Cricetulus griseus: one gene and its partners. The protein of the gene in region 3 purifies or fractionates together with the protein of the main gene of each other region. This does not show direct contact. Links are inferred from orthologs where the notes say so. Each region holds a gene or a part of one and is shown on either strand. Other genes may lie near its edges.

What was found.
Region 1: the proteins of Rab5a (region 3) and Rabggta purify together in Homo sapiens (affinity purification with mass spectrometry; 3 studies listed by BioGRID and IntAct, counting the BioPlex papers as one, with this or other methods). This does not show direct contact. The link is inferred for Cricetulus griseus from reciprocal best matches to the Homo sapiens genes RAB5A and RABGGTA.
Region 2: the proteins of Rab5a (region 3) and Chm purify together in Homo sapiens (affinity purification with mass spectrometry; 3 studies listed by BioGRID and IntAct, counting the BioPlex papers as one, with this or other methods). This does not show direct contact. The link is inferred for Cricetulus griseus from reciprocal best matches to the Homo sapiens genes RAB5A and CHM.

The regions. Positions count from the first base shown.
Region 1 is NW_023276807.1:210,918,589-210,922,694, forward strand, and holds the start of Rabggta (geranylgeranyl transferase type-2 subunit alpha), read right to left. Parts: upstream 2,801-4,106; 5' UTR 2,601-2,800; intron 636-2,600; 5' UTR 482-635; exon of another isoform or gene 376-481; intron 243-375; 5' UTR 176-242; coding exon 173-175; intron 51-172; coding exon 1-50. UniProt on the Homo sapiens protein: Catalyzes the transfer of a geranylgeranyl moiety from geranylgeranyl diphosphate to both cysteines of Rab proteins with the C-terminal sequence -XXCC, -XCXC and -CCXX, such as RAB1A, RAB3A, RAB5A and RAB7A.
Region 2 is NC_048604.1:58,850,219-58,854,167, forward strand, and holds the start of Chm (rab proteins geranylgeranyltransferase component A 1), read left to right. Parts: upstream 1-1,149; 5' UTR 1,150-1,338; coding exon 1,339-1,353; intron 1,354-2,207; coding exon 2,208-2,319; intron 2,320-3,949. UniProt on the Homo sapiens protein: Substrate-binding subunit of the Rab geranylgeranyltransferase (GGTase) complex.
Region 3 is NW_023276806.1:249,794,471-249,801,162, forward strand, and holds the start of Rab5a (ras-related protein Rab-5A), read right to left. Parts: upstream 4,242-6,692; 5' UTR 4,104-4,241; intron 3,150-4,103; 5' UTR 3,058-3,149; intron 2,920-3,057; exon of another isoform or gene 2,824-2,919; intron 9-2,823; exon of another isoform or gene 1-8. UniProt on the Homo sapiens protein: The small GTPases Rab are key regulators of intracellular membrane trafficking, from the formation of transport vesicles to their fusion with membranes.

The DNA of each region.
Region 1 (4,106 bases), on a different chromosome or scaffold from region 3:
CTTTTGGCTTCTGCCTGCTCTTCAGACGTCTTCACCTTCAGGCGCCCATGCTACGGGGATGGGTAGGGGGATAAAAATGCAGGTTGTCTTGCAGGGGCAGACTTGCAGAAGCCCCACAGAAAGCCACGCGGGGTGAGGGCGTGGGCATGCAGGGGCAGGGGGCTGGACTCACCATGGTGTCGGCTCAGCGTCGGGGACAGAGGAAGGGTCCAGAGGAGGGGTCCTGAGGTAGTTCGTTCAGTCTGCGAAGAAAGATGTCAATCACGGAACCCCGCCCACACAGCCCCGCCCCCCAGGTGTTTCCCGGAAGCTGCCCGCGGGCCTGAGTGAAGAGGTCCCGCGGCTGGAACTGCGAGATCAGGCGGAGGCACTCACCACAACCGGAGCTTCGGTAGGCCGGGCCCGAGCCGAGGCACCCGGAGAGAGCAGTGCCCGCCCGTCCCGCTGATCCCAGCACCCTCTCCCCCGCGGGCGAACCCACCTTCTCTGGGAAGAGGTGTCGGGACGTGCAGCCCGGCGCTGCCACCGAGTTCCAGCCTGGCTAGAGAGGCTTCGCGCCGTGTGAGGGGAGGCGCGGCGCCCCCTGCAGGCTCGGGGAGGGAGCTGCGTGTGTGTCATCCAGTTCTTGTTAGCGCCTAGGAGTGTGTGAGCAAAGGTGGCTGGCGAATGTGTGAATGACATGGAAAGGCTTCCCGTTACCAACTCAAACTGCAACCTAGTTGAAGAAGTTTCCCCAACAACCTGACACCAGCGAATTTCGGCTGTCAAAAACTCTCAGGTTCCTGCCTGCTCTCTTAATTTCATCCACAGTCATGGTTGCTATCGGGAAGGTGATGGTACCCAAGTCTCTAGCCCAGATGTCCGTCCACATGCATAATGATAATGATAATAATAATTACATATCAGTATACGTATGCGTTGACACATTCAGAAGCCCATTGGAAAAAGCCAGGGGCCGTGGTGGTGCTTGTAATATCAGCTTCTCAGGAGGTTGATGCAGGAAGTTCTCAACCTTCCTAACGCTTTGATACAGTTCCCCATGTGGTGATCCCCAGACATAAAGTGATTTCATTGCCACTTCATAACTGTAATTTACTACTGTTATGAGTCATAATAGAAATATCTGATCTGCAGAACAGCTGCTATGCGACCCCCAAAGGGTTGGTGACCCACAGGTTGAGAACCACTTAAACTCTATAGAGTTTAAGGCCAGTTTAAGTAATCGTGAGATTTCTGATTTTTAAGAAACGAGGCCGGGCGGTGGTGCACGCCTTTAGTCCAGCACTCAGGAGGCAGAGGCAGGCAGATCTCTGTGAGTTCGAGACCAGCCTGGTTCCAGGAGCTGGTTCCAGGAGAGCCTCCAAATCTATACAGAGAAACCCTGTTTCAAAAAAAACAAAACAAAACAAAACAAAACAAAACAAAAAAACCCAAAAAACAAAAAACCAAAAACAAACAAACAAACAACAACAAGAAAATGAAAAAAAGAAACTGAGTATGTTCTAGAGGTATTTCAAACTACAAACGCTAAAAGATACTGTCATGTCCATCTCTCCCGAATGCTAGCTTTCTTCTCATTGTTGTCCAGAATGGCACTGTTCTCTCTCTCTGCTTTTCTGTTAATGTCCTCCCCATTCCAGGTCCCACTAAGGTTGTTGAAATGGTTTTCATCCCAACCATGTCCCCTCCCCTATCAATTCACCTTTTGTGCCCTGGAAATGTACTTAAAGTACTCACTATGTCCCCAGTCTTTTTCTAGGTCCTGTCACTTATTTTAGAGGAAAAAAGATGATTTTTCCTGGACTTGTATACATCAGTCCCAGTGGGGAAAACATACGTAAGTTACTGGTTATCTTTGCTCCTGGTGCTATGATTGTGATGGGAGCTCTGTATATATGTGAGGCATATGAACACACACACACACACACACACACACACACACACACACACACACACACACACACGGAGGTAGAAGCAGAGTGATTTAAAACATGACTCTTCCTAACATGATGGGTCACACCTCTAATCCAAGCCCTTGGGAGGTTGGGGCAGGAGGATCCTGCGTTTGAAGCCAGCCTGTGCTATGCAGTAAGATGCTCTTTCAAAATGAGAAAATAAAAAAGCTGGATGTCTTGGAGAACACCTGTAACCCTGGTACTTGGGAGGAGAGAAAAAAATGTCAAGGTTGAGGCCAACCTGGATTAGTAAAGGAGTTCCAGGTTAGTTTTTGCCACATAGTCTCAAAAAAACTCAGTAACAGAAGAAACATTTTATTTATATGTTCGAGTTGATGTGAAGATTAAATAAAGTGCATATGCCTTTAATCTCAGTACTAGGGAGGCAGAGGCAGGAGTATCCCTGTGAGTTTGAAGCCAGCCCGGTCTACAGAGCAAGTTCCAGGACAGTAAGGGCTACACAAAGAAGTTCTTTGAATAATGACTATACTGAATAATTGCTCAGTAAATAATAATATAGTTATGATTTTTAGCTCTCCTGACAAACATGCATGAATCAGAGGTCCAAAAAGATTAGCTTGCTGAGGGTCACCCATGTAGTAAGTAGCTAGATAAGACTCAGATATGATTCTGGTCTAGTCTTACCTCATCATCCATTTTTTTTGTTGTTTGGCTACTTCCGGATCTTATAGGTACTCAGACATTCAACCAGATACCAGGAACACCGATGCCAGACAGCGTTACATCATAGTCACTAAGGGAGGAGAGGAGGAGGTGGGTGAAGGTTGAGGTAAGCATGAAAGACTATTTAATAATTAGCGATCTTGAAACTGGCAGAGCTGAGTCAGGCAGGCTCGAGAGGAAGTGAGTCCTCTGGAAAACATCTGCACTCAAGAAGGTGGGGCCTGTGTTTTGGAAAGAGAAGGCAGGAAGGGCATTTCAGACATGTGTGACATGAACATGGGGGTGAGGAAGCCAAACAGACTTAGCTTCTGGCAGAGAGAAGCTAAACCAGGTGCCCTCACAGATAAGAACAACCCAATTGATGACACGCCTCTTCATGGCAAAAGCAGTTGTCATGAGTTATATTTGGCCTTCTCTCTGAGGTAGTGGGAAGCAGGCAGCTGGTTGAGGGCTGTGCTCTGATACCTGAAGAGATTTTTCTGCTCATTGTGAAAGCAGTGATAGGAGCACCAGTAGAGACGAGTCAGCACTGTGGACATGGGAAGGAATCATCGTCCGGATCACAGTGTGGAAAGAGACGGGGTGGGGAACACCTGCACGCACAGTGCTTCCAGGACCCTGAGCAGAGACCAAATATGGTTTGGGTTGGGAGGAAGGAAGGGACAAAGAGCCACAGTCAAAGCTGGGCAGGCAGCCATGCTCCAGAGGTAGGGGGAGTAAGGAAGAGGCAGTTACAGTAGCCGGGTTCCTCTGCAGCATAAGACAGAGTGTTTGTTTTCAGTCACCTCTTCTTTAGCATAAGGACTGGGCTGCCACAGTCCTAGGCTCCAGGGATGCAGTGCTAGACCAACAAAACCAATCAAACAAACAAAAACCAAAACCAACAACAACAACAACAAAAAAAACCCAAAACATTTATGTTCCTTGGAGGTTGTGGTTAGTGAAGCCCTGTGTAATTGAACTCTCTGTGGCAGGGCAAGGGGAGCCTTTAATTCCAGCACTTGGGAAGTGAGAGAGAGAGGGAGAGAGGCAGAGGGAGAGGGAAGGAGGGTATTTTACTAAACCCGGAGATTGCCACCTCAACTAGCTGTCCCCAAGCTCCTGGGATCTCCCTGTCACTGCCCCACATACCCCACTGATGATGTGTAATAATGCGTTCTCCTTAAACTTCTGGTGTCTCTTGTATTCTTCCTACAATTGTAAAATAAGGATAATATACATATATCTTAATACACACATCATATGGCTGCAAATCTGATCCTCCTATTTAAAAATTCTCCCAGCCACAGAGATGAGAATGGAGAATGGGTTAGTGAGGAACTAGGTATATAGATAGGGAGTAGGGGTGAGCATGGGATGGCCAATAGAAATCTTTCTCAGCGGTATACAGACAGAACATGACCACCAGAGCCTTGTGGTTGGGCCAGAAGGACTACAAGTTAGACCAGTTCCCTGGTAGGCATCATA
Region 2 (3,949 bases), on a different chromosome or scaffold from region 3:
TAAGCACCTGAGACACTAGACAGTATAAAGGATTGTCACACTACTGCATCTTGCATTTGAATTATTTTGAATTCTTGGAAAATAATTAGACGAATAATTCCCAAGATTAGAAAGTACTTTCCTTAATTCAATGCAACCCTCCCCTCTCTTTTTGCTTTAGTATTTTCAGAAAGGCAAGCATTTTAAATAAGGTAGAGTGGTAGAGTGGGAGGTGACAGACCTTGAAAATACTCATGAGAGCTATGTTAACTGTTTGGCATAGACAACCTTTAGCTCACTTATCAATTATGACCACTTCTATATAAGTCTATTTTACTTTAATCATTTCTCCAGCATCTTCGTAGGAGAAAGTTGTTTGGTCTCCTCTTATTTTGGTTGGAAATCAGATTGTGAAACAAAAGATTTATTAAGCATCTACTATTTTTTATTATTCTTTCACAGTCTTTTCTCTGCCTCCTTTTGAAACTTACATTGCTAGGCAGCTGTTTGAACTGATTAGAGAATACAGAAGGAATCCCATTTTGTGGAAACTAGGCAAAGGGATTTTTATTTGGTTGGTTCCCCCTGCCCCCCCACCCCCACTGGAAATACACAGAATATAGTTGGACAGTATTATAATGAAGTGAAAATCGATGTCTCTTGTTCCAAAAATAAAAATACAGACATGCTAGGGGTAAGAGTTTTCCTGGCATGAATGAAAATCTCCTTTGTTCAAAATGAATTGAATTTGAATTTCACTCCTCCTTGAATGTCTCTGACCAAATTTTTGTTCGGTAATTGTCAAGGGGTGTACTCCTCATGCTCGACGAGTCGAATACTTACATTTCTTTTCCGTATCAAACCTCCATGACAAATAAGCTAGTTCACTGAAGACTGTAAAATGAATAGAACTTTTACCACTCTCGTTAACATTTCAAATACTTTATCTTTGCCACTTTCCTGGACCCTTCACCCTAGAACTACAACACCCAGAATGCACTGTTTTTCCTTCCGCCTTCTACAGAGAGTCGGCCTGAGGAATTCACAGCCACAAACAAAGGTCACATGACACGTTTCCTGTCAAGATGGCGGATAATCTCCCTTCGGAGTTTGATGTGATCGTAATAGGGACGGGTATGTGTGGCCGTGGTTTTTCCTAGACAAAATTTAGGAAATAATTCTCGCCTTTTAGTTTCTCTTTCAGTGGCGATGGTTGGCGAGAAACGGCGGGGGTCGAGCCTGGGAGGGAGGAGGCAAAGGAAGTGAGGTAGCCTGGAGTCAGCGCGGGACTTGGCAGCTCCAGGGAGGGGCTTGGAACCTCGGTGTTTTGCGCCATTTGAGTAGGGGTCGATCTGGTCGATGCCGATTGCTGAGGTTGGTTGCTGCGGTGATTCCTGTTAATTTCCTAGAGGAGGGTGGGTTTGCAGTGTCATGAGAATGGAGGGTCGGTATTTGATCAATGGAGACGCCATTGGCATACTATAATTGCCTCTTTCCCTCGTTGATTTCAAGGTTATATTCCCCATCGTTTTCTGTCGCCATCTCATAGGGCTTTTTCCATATACTTACATGATTCTAGGATACGTTGCAGCTCAGATGTAGCTTAATTTGCAGTTAATAAGAATGATGCTCAGTCTCCCCCCCCCCCCCCCCCATGTATTTCTATTACGGGAAAGGAAGTGGACTCCTTTTTTATGTGTTGAGTACCCTAAGAGCCTTTTCCCCACTGAGGTAGCCATTATTCTTGCATTCTGGTATTTAAGGCATCCTTGTTTATGATGCAGAAAGGAAGCATATTGCTTTCTTTCACCCATCTATACACCACAACTAGATGTGCCCAGAATAAGCCCCAATGTTCATTCCAGATCCTGTGCCTGACCTTAGCTTCTCCTTGTTTTTCCATCATTAGTTCTCCATGTTTTGGGTGGAGTCAGAAATCCTCTTCCGCTTCTAGTTGATTAGTTAATCCTACAACACTTGTCAGCAATTAACATTTCTTTTCTTAATTATAAGGGATGTAGTTTGCATAAGATAAAAGAGATAGTGGGTGGGTTTTTCTGCTGTCTGTAGAATGTGGTAGGCAGCACAAGCTTTGGTGAATGGGACTCTGTCCATTGTATTAATTTAATTTGCTCTGTTCCCATAGAGTAAGAATAGCCATATTTCCAGGTTTAGAGTAAAAACAATAGCAACTCGTTTTCAAATGTTTGTCATTTCCTAATCAATAGACTAAGCAATTCACAAAATTCCAACAACAAACTTGCTCGAATGGATATTCTCTTCAATACACAGAAGAGGAGAAGCAGCCTGGAAGTCTAACTTGCCAAAGTCACACTGCTGGTAAATATCCAAAGACCAGCAGTATTCAAGAAATGGAATCACTTTTTATTTACTCTCAAAATTGTACAATGTTAGCAGAAATAAGTGGGAAAACTTATTCTAGATCATGCTAATTCAATTTCCACAATTTTGAATATAAGGAGCTTAGATCAAATAGCCTTTAAAGGTGTTATCCAAACACAAATTCTCATATTGTAGATATACCGGAGTAATTAATTGTTCTTAGAAGAGTGGAGGTGTGTTTATTCCCAGTCTGAAGATTACTACCACAATAGCTAACCTGGTTGTAACTGCAATGAACAGATGTTGGATGACACAGTAGACTATTCACTTCTCCCAGTCTGCTCTAAAACAACACCATCCATTTTTAGAGTAAGGTGTTTTTTTTTTCCCCGTTTTGTTTTTTAAATTTTACTTGAATTCTACTTGATTTGGGTGATATGGTAACTTTTATTAAATGTATTAATTCTTTTAGACACATTCAAAAGTGGAAACATTTGGTGAAAGTCATTTTTCAAATAAAATGATTCTGACACTTTCAATCATTTCTTGTAATTGAACTGATTTTTAAAGCATTTTGCTTTCTTTCTGAAATACTTCATTGAAGTAGACTTCAAATGTGTTGGCATTGTTACATTAATTCGTAGATAACTTACAGGAAAAGCAGTGTTTCATAACTTCAGTTCTGTTGACAAAAGCAAAATGAAGTATATCATTATCAGAAACAAGTAAAGAACTAGGCTGTGAGTTATAGTTCCCCTTAAGCATGTTTCTAGTTAAAATATCACCAAGAGACAATTGCTTCATCAAGTAGAATCATCCAAGAATATTGTAAATGTCTACCTACCTTAAATAGTTTTTTATTTTTTCATTTTTGCATGACCTGGTATAAAGGTTTCCTTTAAAGTCATATTTTCAAGATAAGGGAAAATAATATCAGAATACCCAAAGAAAGAAAGTTAAGATACAGCACTTGAACTATGGAGGAATAGATTAAAGAGGTAAAACCAATTGGAATCTCAATAGGGAGGAAAGATGGTCATAAACAAATGATTAGAATGTGGTCTTTGGCTTGGGTACACTATTGTCATTTCAGAATAGTTTGGCATTTAAAAATAATTTTATCAATAATTTTGTGGGTTGTGGAAAAGTTACCATTGGGTGCAGGTTAAAAATTATCCTAGCAACAAATTGTATGATCTCCAGCAAGGCCAAAAAGTCACAAGGGAGGAAGAAATATTAGGTATAAAGGATATATGATAACATTGACATATGCCATATATAGGAGCATAATTCAGCTCCTAACTTGGAATATATTCTTATTTTAGATAGAATTCTAGCTTGCTTAAAATGCACTATAACCAACTCATTTTGAAGGACAGACTCTTATCACCCGTGAAGAATATGTTTGGCTGGTGCTATTAGATGCACAGCTGACTGAAAACTCAGAGCTCTATAAGGAAGGGAATGTACATGAAGTGGCATAATGCCTTGACATGTATTAGTGTAAACACATACACACACACACACACACACACACACACACACACACACACACACAATCTTTTTTTGTGGTATTTAGTTACTATAGAGAAACTGCTCTCCTGTGCTTGTAATACTTACTGTATTG
Region 3 (6,692 bases):
TTGGGGCTGGGGATTGGTATAGTGCTTGCCCAGCAAGCAGCAGGCTCTAGGTCCAAAAACAAACCCAAATAAATAAAAATAAAGAAGACTTGACTTTGTGCCAGTTAGTATTTTAAATACTTAATATAGCCATTCAACAGTATCAAGTACTCTTACAAATCTTATAAATGAGGAAACAGGTACGAAAAGGCTCATTGAGGTCACAGAGCAACTGTGACAGAGCAATCTGGGAGGTCAATCAAGAATTCAGGTTCTGGGCACTGGAAAGATGGCGGTTTAGCCTGAGTACTGCTATTCTAGGTGACTGGAGTTCAGCTTATAGGGTGATCCACAACCATTTGTAACACCAGTCCCAGTTGTCTTGTCATCATCCTGCTCCCTGCCCACCCCCTTTAAAATGAAGAAAAGAAAATCAGGTTCTATGTCCTATCAACCCTTAGCTATGAATTCACTCTTATCTCAGGCAATTTGGTTGACTCTTGCAAGGGGCCTCAGTTACTCATTTGTTAAATTGTTGTAATATTGTCTACCTTATTTTAGAATCTTGAGTAGAAAGAGAGAATGCCTGAAATAAGACATATCCTGTTTGAAGAACTAGGTGGCATAAAAATGCCCAGAGTTTATTAACATTCTGCTTGCTTTCCTAGTACCATTAAATAGTCATTCTCTTGTTCTGTGTTTTATGTACTGTTTTACTTTTGAAGTAAATAACTTTATAAAAGTTAATAAAAAAGAAAATCAGGTTCTACTTGGGTTAATATTTTTGAAGAAAGTTATGCTTGTAAATGGAAAGTTTTTAGAACAAATCCTACAGTTTACTATCTGAAGGCCTCAATTAAATGATACTCTTTTTTTGGTTCTTTTGAGACAGGGTTTCTCTGCATTGCTTTGGAGAAGGCTGTCCTGGAAATCGTTCTGTAGACCAGGCTGGCCTCGACTCACAGAGACCCGCCTGCCTCTGCCTCCCGAGTGCTGCAACTAAAGCCGTGGGCCACCAACACCTGGCAAATTTTTCATTTAATAGTAATTTCCCAAGTTTGTGTGCCTGGCTGATAAGGATTTCTCTATCTGGTAGGATTAGGAGTGACCTATTTACTTTCAGTAATTTTGGAGGGGTAGCTTTTGGGCTAACAATGTATGCTGTTAGCATTGCATTTGGAAAAAGCTAGCCTGAGAGACAATCTCCTCTCCTCTTCAGATAGGGTGTCACAAAGAAGCATAAAATGGTGATCTTCATACTTCTTGTTCTTAAGATCTGCACCAAGACATCCAGTTTGTTTTTAATCTTGGTAGAACTGGCACCCTTTGAAACACCCTTTTCAGTTTATTCACAAATCAACTTTAAGTAGCTTAGTCCAACCTTTTATCAATATATAGAACCTGGATGGGGTAACCCTGTAATCCCAGGCACCTAGAAGAAGGAGGTCTATGAAGTATTCCTGGGACTAGCCTGAGCTTACCTAGAGTCCTTGTTTCAAAAAGAAGAAAAATCACTGAGTACTGTACTTGCAGTGTAAGTCTAGGTTTGGATCCTGGGAACCATATATAATGAAAAGATGAGGACCAAGATCTGAGGTTGTCTGTTTGATATCCACACAAATGCTATGGAATGCATACACCTTCACACAGGAACTCACACACATCCACCCCACACATAAACTAAAATAAATGTGGCTTATAAGCTTATTAACAACAAAGCATACTAAGGATTTCATCTCCCCTGCCAAAAAAACTGCACTATATTCCCCATAAAATTTGAGTCGATACATTGAACTTTCTTGACAATGACGAATTCATTGATAAATATATCCATAAGATCTTTGTGTTATTTTTATTGTTTTAAGACAAGGTCTCTCTATATGTAACCATGGCTGTCATAGAACTCAAAGAGATCGATCAATCTCTGTCTCTACCTCTGGAGTTAAAGACATGCCCCACCAAACCCTGCTTAGTCTTTAAGATACCACATCTTGGTGTGATCAAGTTAATAACTTTGAAGATTACTTATCTTTTCCAAAACTACAGACACATTTACAGATAAAATGATATCTGAGCTGCTTCTAACCAAGAGAACACAAAACTACTATTCCAACCTAGCACTTGGGAAGCTGAAACAAAAACATGTCAGTGAGAAAGACAAAGACATAGCAAGGCCCTGTCTCAAAAGAACAGACACGGTTGCTGGTTGGTGCATGCCTTTAATTCCAGCACTAGGGAGGCAGAGGCAGGTAGATCTCTAAGTTCAAGGCCAATCTGGTCTACAGAGCCAGTTCCTAGACAGCCAAGTCACACAGAGAAACCTTGTCTCAAACCCTGCCCCCACGGAAAAAAAAAAAAAAAAAAAAAAAAAAAAAGACTTGGAAGTTTAAGATTTTAATGCTAGCACCTGGGTCCAGAGGAAGGCGAATGAATCTCTGGGAGTTCCAGGCCAGCCTGGTCTACAAAGCATGTTTCAAGCCACGCAGAGCTACACAGTGACAGCTTGTCTGAAAATAAATAAATAAAACTCCCATTTCTCCTCAATCCACAAAAACAGATTTTGAAGTCCAGTCCTGGCTATGCCAATTTCTGTTGGAGCAAAGTTTTAATTTCCACATCTCAATATCCATAAAATTCTAAGATTGCATTGCTACTGTGAAAATTAAGACAACATATGTAGTCACTAATACAGTGCCTACTAAGTACACAGTGCTTGAAATTGGCAATTTAAATGGCCTTTTGGTGAGATAATGTTGTAAATAATAGACTGTCATGCAGACTGAAAAGGCATCAACACACCTTCAGATACACTTTCAGCTTAAACGTTTCCCAATAGTTCCTTACCTACAAAACAACAGATGGCTTTCCAGGACAAAACTTGCTCTGAATGTCCACAGTACTTCTAAAATTTCAGGGAAACATCGGATTCTCACAGAAAAACTGAACAAAAATTCACACTTAGTTTTGCTTTTTAAGTGTTCTTTACCCTTCCCACCCCATCTTTTTGAAAGAGGAACTTGTAGCCTAGGCAAGAACAGGGGTAAGTTAGGGATAGCCTGGAACTCCGCATCTTCCTACCTCAGCTTCCAGAGTGCTGGGATGACAGATGGGTGCTTCCATATTCAGCGCCTTTTAAAGTTCAAAGCTACTGAATCTTTACTTCCAAAGACCTCAAACAGGAAATAAGCCAAATTATAAACATACACACATTGACCACGACATTAATGTTAAAAATGAAGTGCACGGACTGGGAGTAGCCAGCAGAGCTCTTGCTCTGCACACAGAGGCTGAGACTGTGTTCAACCCCTGGCAAAACAGACACACGCACACGCGCTACATGCGATCCTTTGTACTCACTGCTTGTACTTATTCTGACAAACAAAACTTTTGCATAATGTGCATCTTAAATTTTGAAAATGGTACTTATGTTATACAGCTCTTATCTTTGATTCAAAAAGTTACGAGCCCTTAAATTGTGCATCCTTTGCTCACAACCCTATGGGTCCAAATTTACATCAGGAATGATCTGGCCAGTCCTCAGTATTCCCAGAGACACACCATGGGGTTTTTTGCTGTTGTTTAATTAGTTACCTGAAAGGCAACTGATTCAGCACTTTGAATACACTTCAGCAAGGCACAAACTAAACATGCCAAGTGTGACAGTCCGAGCTTTAAACTTCTGGAAGTGTCTGGATGTTAACCCGCTCGCAGGCCTCGGTTCACCGCGTCCCACGGAAGACCAGAGGATCCCACCATTCCCACAGCTCGGCCAAGCCAGTCAGAGGTAGGCGGAGCTCCCGAACCCCACCTGCTGTAGGCCCGGATTCCCGGAGCACCCGAGAACCAACTCGGGGTGCCGGAGCCAGCAACCCCGCCGGGCCCTGTGGCCGTGCTTCTAAGCCACTCCCTCCCCGCGGCGGCGGCCCGGCCAGGACTGAGACCCCGGGACCAGGCCGGACACCGCCGCGGCCCACGGCGCCATCTTGGGAAGAGGGTGACACCCGCCGCTCCCTGCGAGCGTCCCGGCATCCCGGGCTCGAGCGGCTGGCCGGAGGCGTGTGTGGAGCCGAGGCCCTGCAGACGCCCGGAGAGCCGGGCCCAGGCTGGGGCCGAGGGCGGCTTACCTGGGGCGCGGCTCCCGGCAGCGAGGCCACGCACCGCCCGGAGATGGGATGCGCCGGAGCCGCAGCCGCAGCGGCGTCGCCTGCTCGGGGCTTCTCACCCTGGCCGGCGGGGCTCCGAGCGCCGTGCCGCCCCTGCCGGGCTGCCTCTCTGCTCCGCCTGCCTCCCTCCGGCTCCGCAGTGGCCGCACTCGAGTTCCGACGACTCCTTCCTCCGCCTTTTCCTCCTCCTCCGTCTCCTCCCCCTCAGGCCGCCAGGCTCCTTCACGAACCAAAACACAAACACTCAGGGTCCAGCGGAGAAACTACTTCCGCCGGCTCCGCCACGTAGCCGCACGCAGCCAAACACCCCGTGCGGTCACTTCCGCTGCCGCCCCTTCCTGGAGGCCCTGCCAAGGCCGCCTAAGGGGCGAGGCCGGCGCCGGCGCCACGTGACCTCGCCCGGCGCGCTCCGGCCTCCGCGCTCGCTGGGCTTGTGGGCTGAAGACGCCCGGTCGGCCCTCGCTAACGCCCGCTTTATCCCAGCAGACATCTTGCGGCTCTGGCTGCAAGGCGGGGCGGGGCGCCAGGGATGGAGGGGCGGGGCGCCAGGGATGGAGGGGCGGGGTGCCAGGGATGGAGGGCGGGCTTGCGTCATGAGTCCTCGCCCGCAGTGCCGGCCGGACCTATTCACATCACACCCTTGCTCGGCCTTCCTCGACCCGCCCGCCCGCCCGCCCGCACCAGCGCCATTGTTATCTGGGCGGGCATCGCTCTGCGCCGGCTCTGAGGCGCGGCGGGAGCCTGAGTCACATGGGCCTCTTCGGGGCTGGCTCTCTGCGCCCATCGCATTGTCCGCCTCCCGACCTGCCGTGGTGGCGAGGTTGGCTCTGAGGACTCACTCTGAGGCCTCTCACTGTCGCAGCAGTGGAGGTGGTAGTCTCATCCTCACCTGGTGGGATTACGATAGCTCTGCAGAGGAGTTTGGGCGAGGGGCTTGTGTGTCCCTGGAAATGCCACTGCTCTTCTGAGAATGGGTGTGTCGGTGATCTCAGAGAATTAGGACCGGTTCTAGTCAAAAGTTGCCTTTAGACAGCAAACCTCAAAAGAAGAACTCGCCGTTATTGATAGTTTGAGTACTAAACACTTTGGAGTCCGCCTTTTGAAACAAACGCACTGACATTTTAGCATCAGACAGACTACTCCCCACCCATTAATCCGCACGGCCCTGGCAGCCAGGAGTCACATCTGTGGAATGAATGAGGGAGGCAAGTAACTTGGCCAAGATCACTGCCTGTTTGGTGATGAAGATACATTCTACCCTGCAGCTGACTCCAGAACACTGGTTCTTTTTTTTTTTTTTTTTTAACCTTTGCTTTTTCGAGACAGGGTTTCTCTGTGTAGCTTTGGAGCCTGTCCTGATTCTCTGTAGACCAGGCTGGCCTCGAACTCACAGAGATCACCTACCTCTGCCCGGGAGTGCTGGGATTAAATGCGTGCGCCACTACCGATTAGTTTAGTTCTTTTCTGGTTTTTTTTTTTTTTTTTTTTTTGAGACAGGGTTTCTCTGTGTAGCTTTGGAGCCTATCCTGGCACTCGCTCTGGAGACCAGGCTGGCTTCGAACTCACAGAGATCCGCCTGCCTCTGCCTCCCGAGTGCTGGGATTAAAGGTATGGGCCACCAACACCAGGCTTAGTTTAGTTCTTAAGATTCTAGTGAACAGCAGCCCAAGATGTTCATGGCTATCCACAGCACACCTACAAAAGAAACTCCACTCCCCCAAATTCTGGCACCTGTTTCCCTCTGCAAAGAAGCCATTTCCTCATCACTTGAAGGGACAAATGGCTATCTGCTGGCCCCCAGCTCACTCAACACCCATGCTCTTCTCAGATCGTCTTATCTGGCTCTGTTCCCTTCCTGGAGCTTCCTTGCCTCCCTCTGTGAGCAGTAGTTCCAAGGCTGCTTCTCTACTTTCTCCTAGGCCTCCCTTGAGTAGAGTTCCTGTGGCCCCTGCCTTATTTCCTCCTGTCAGAGCTAACCACTGTATTGCTTCTTACACCCTCTTGGGCCTATATATTATCACCCTGCTCCTTCTCATCTCCCCCTAGCAGCTACCTGCTAAGTCCCACAGTTTCCTTACACCCTCTGGGCCACTACAATACATACTGGAACCTTCCTTCTCCTGGGCCTTTATGATACTGAAATCCTTCCTCTGTAGGAAGTCCTGCTTGTGATCCTTGTTCTCATGGCAACCCTGTTCTCTGACACTCAGCTCCGTCTTGGAGCTTACTGGAACCTTCTGTTGTTATTTTGCTTAAATTAGAAGTGTCAATATGGAGATGGAACATGAACCATAAAGAGCACATTAAACAAAGTTTATTACAGGGTGGGAGAGGGGGAGAGAGGAAATGGAAGAATAGAGCAAGGCAGAGAGTAAGAGAGAAAAAATAATGGTTGACCACCGGAAAGAGAAGTAGAGAGAGAGAGAGAGGGAGAGAGAGAGAGAGGTGGGCACAGGCTTTAAAAGGGGAAGCTTGCGCATGAAGAGTTCCTACGCAGTTATGCAGCTCCAAACTGCATAATGAGTGATGTGGCAAGTTACTGTGCGCACC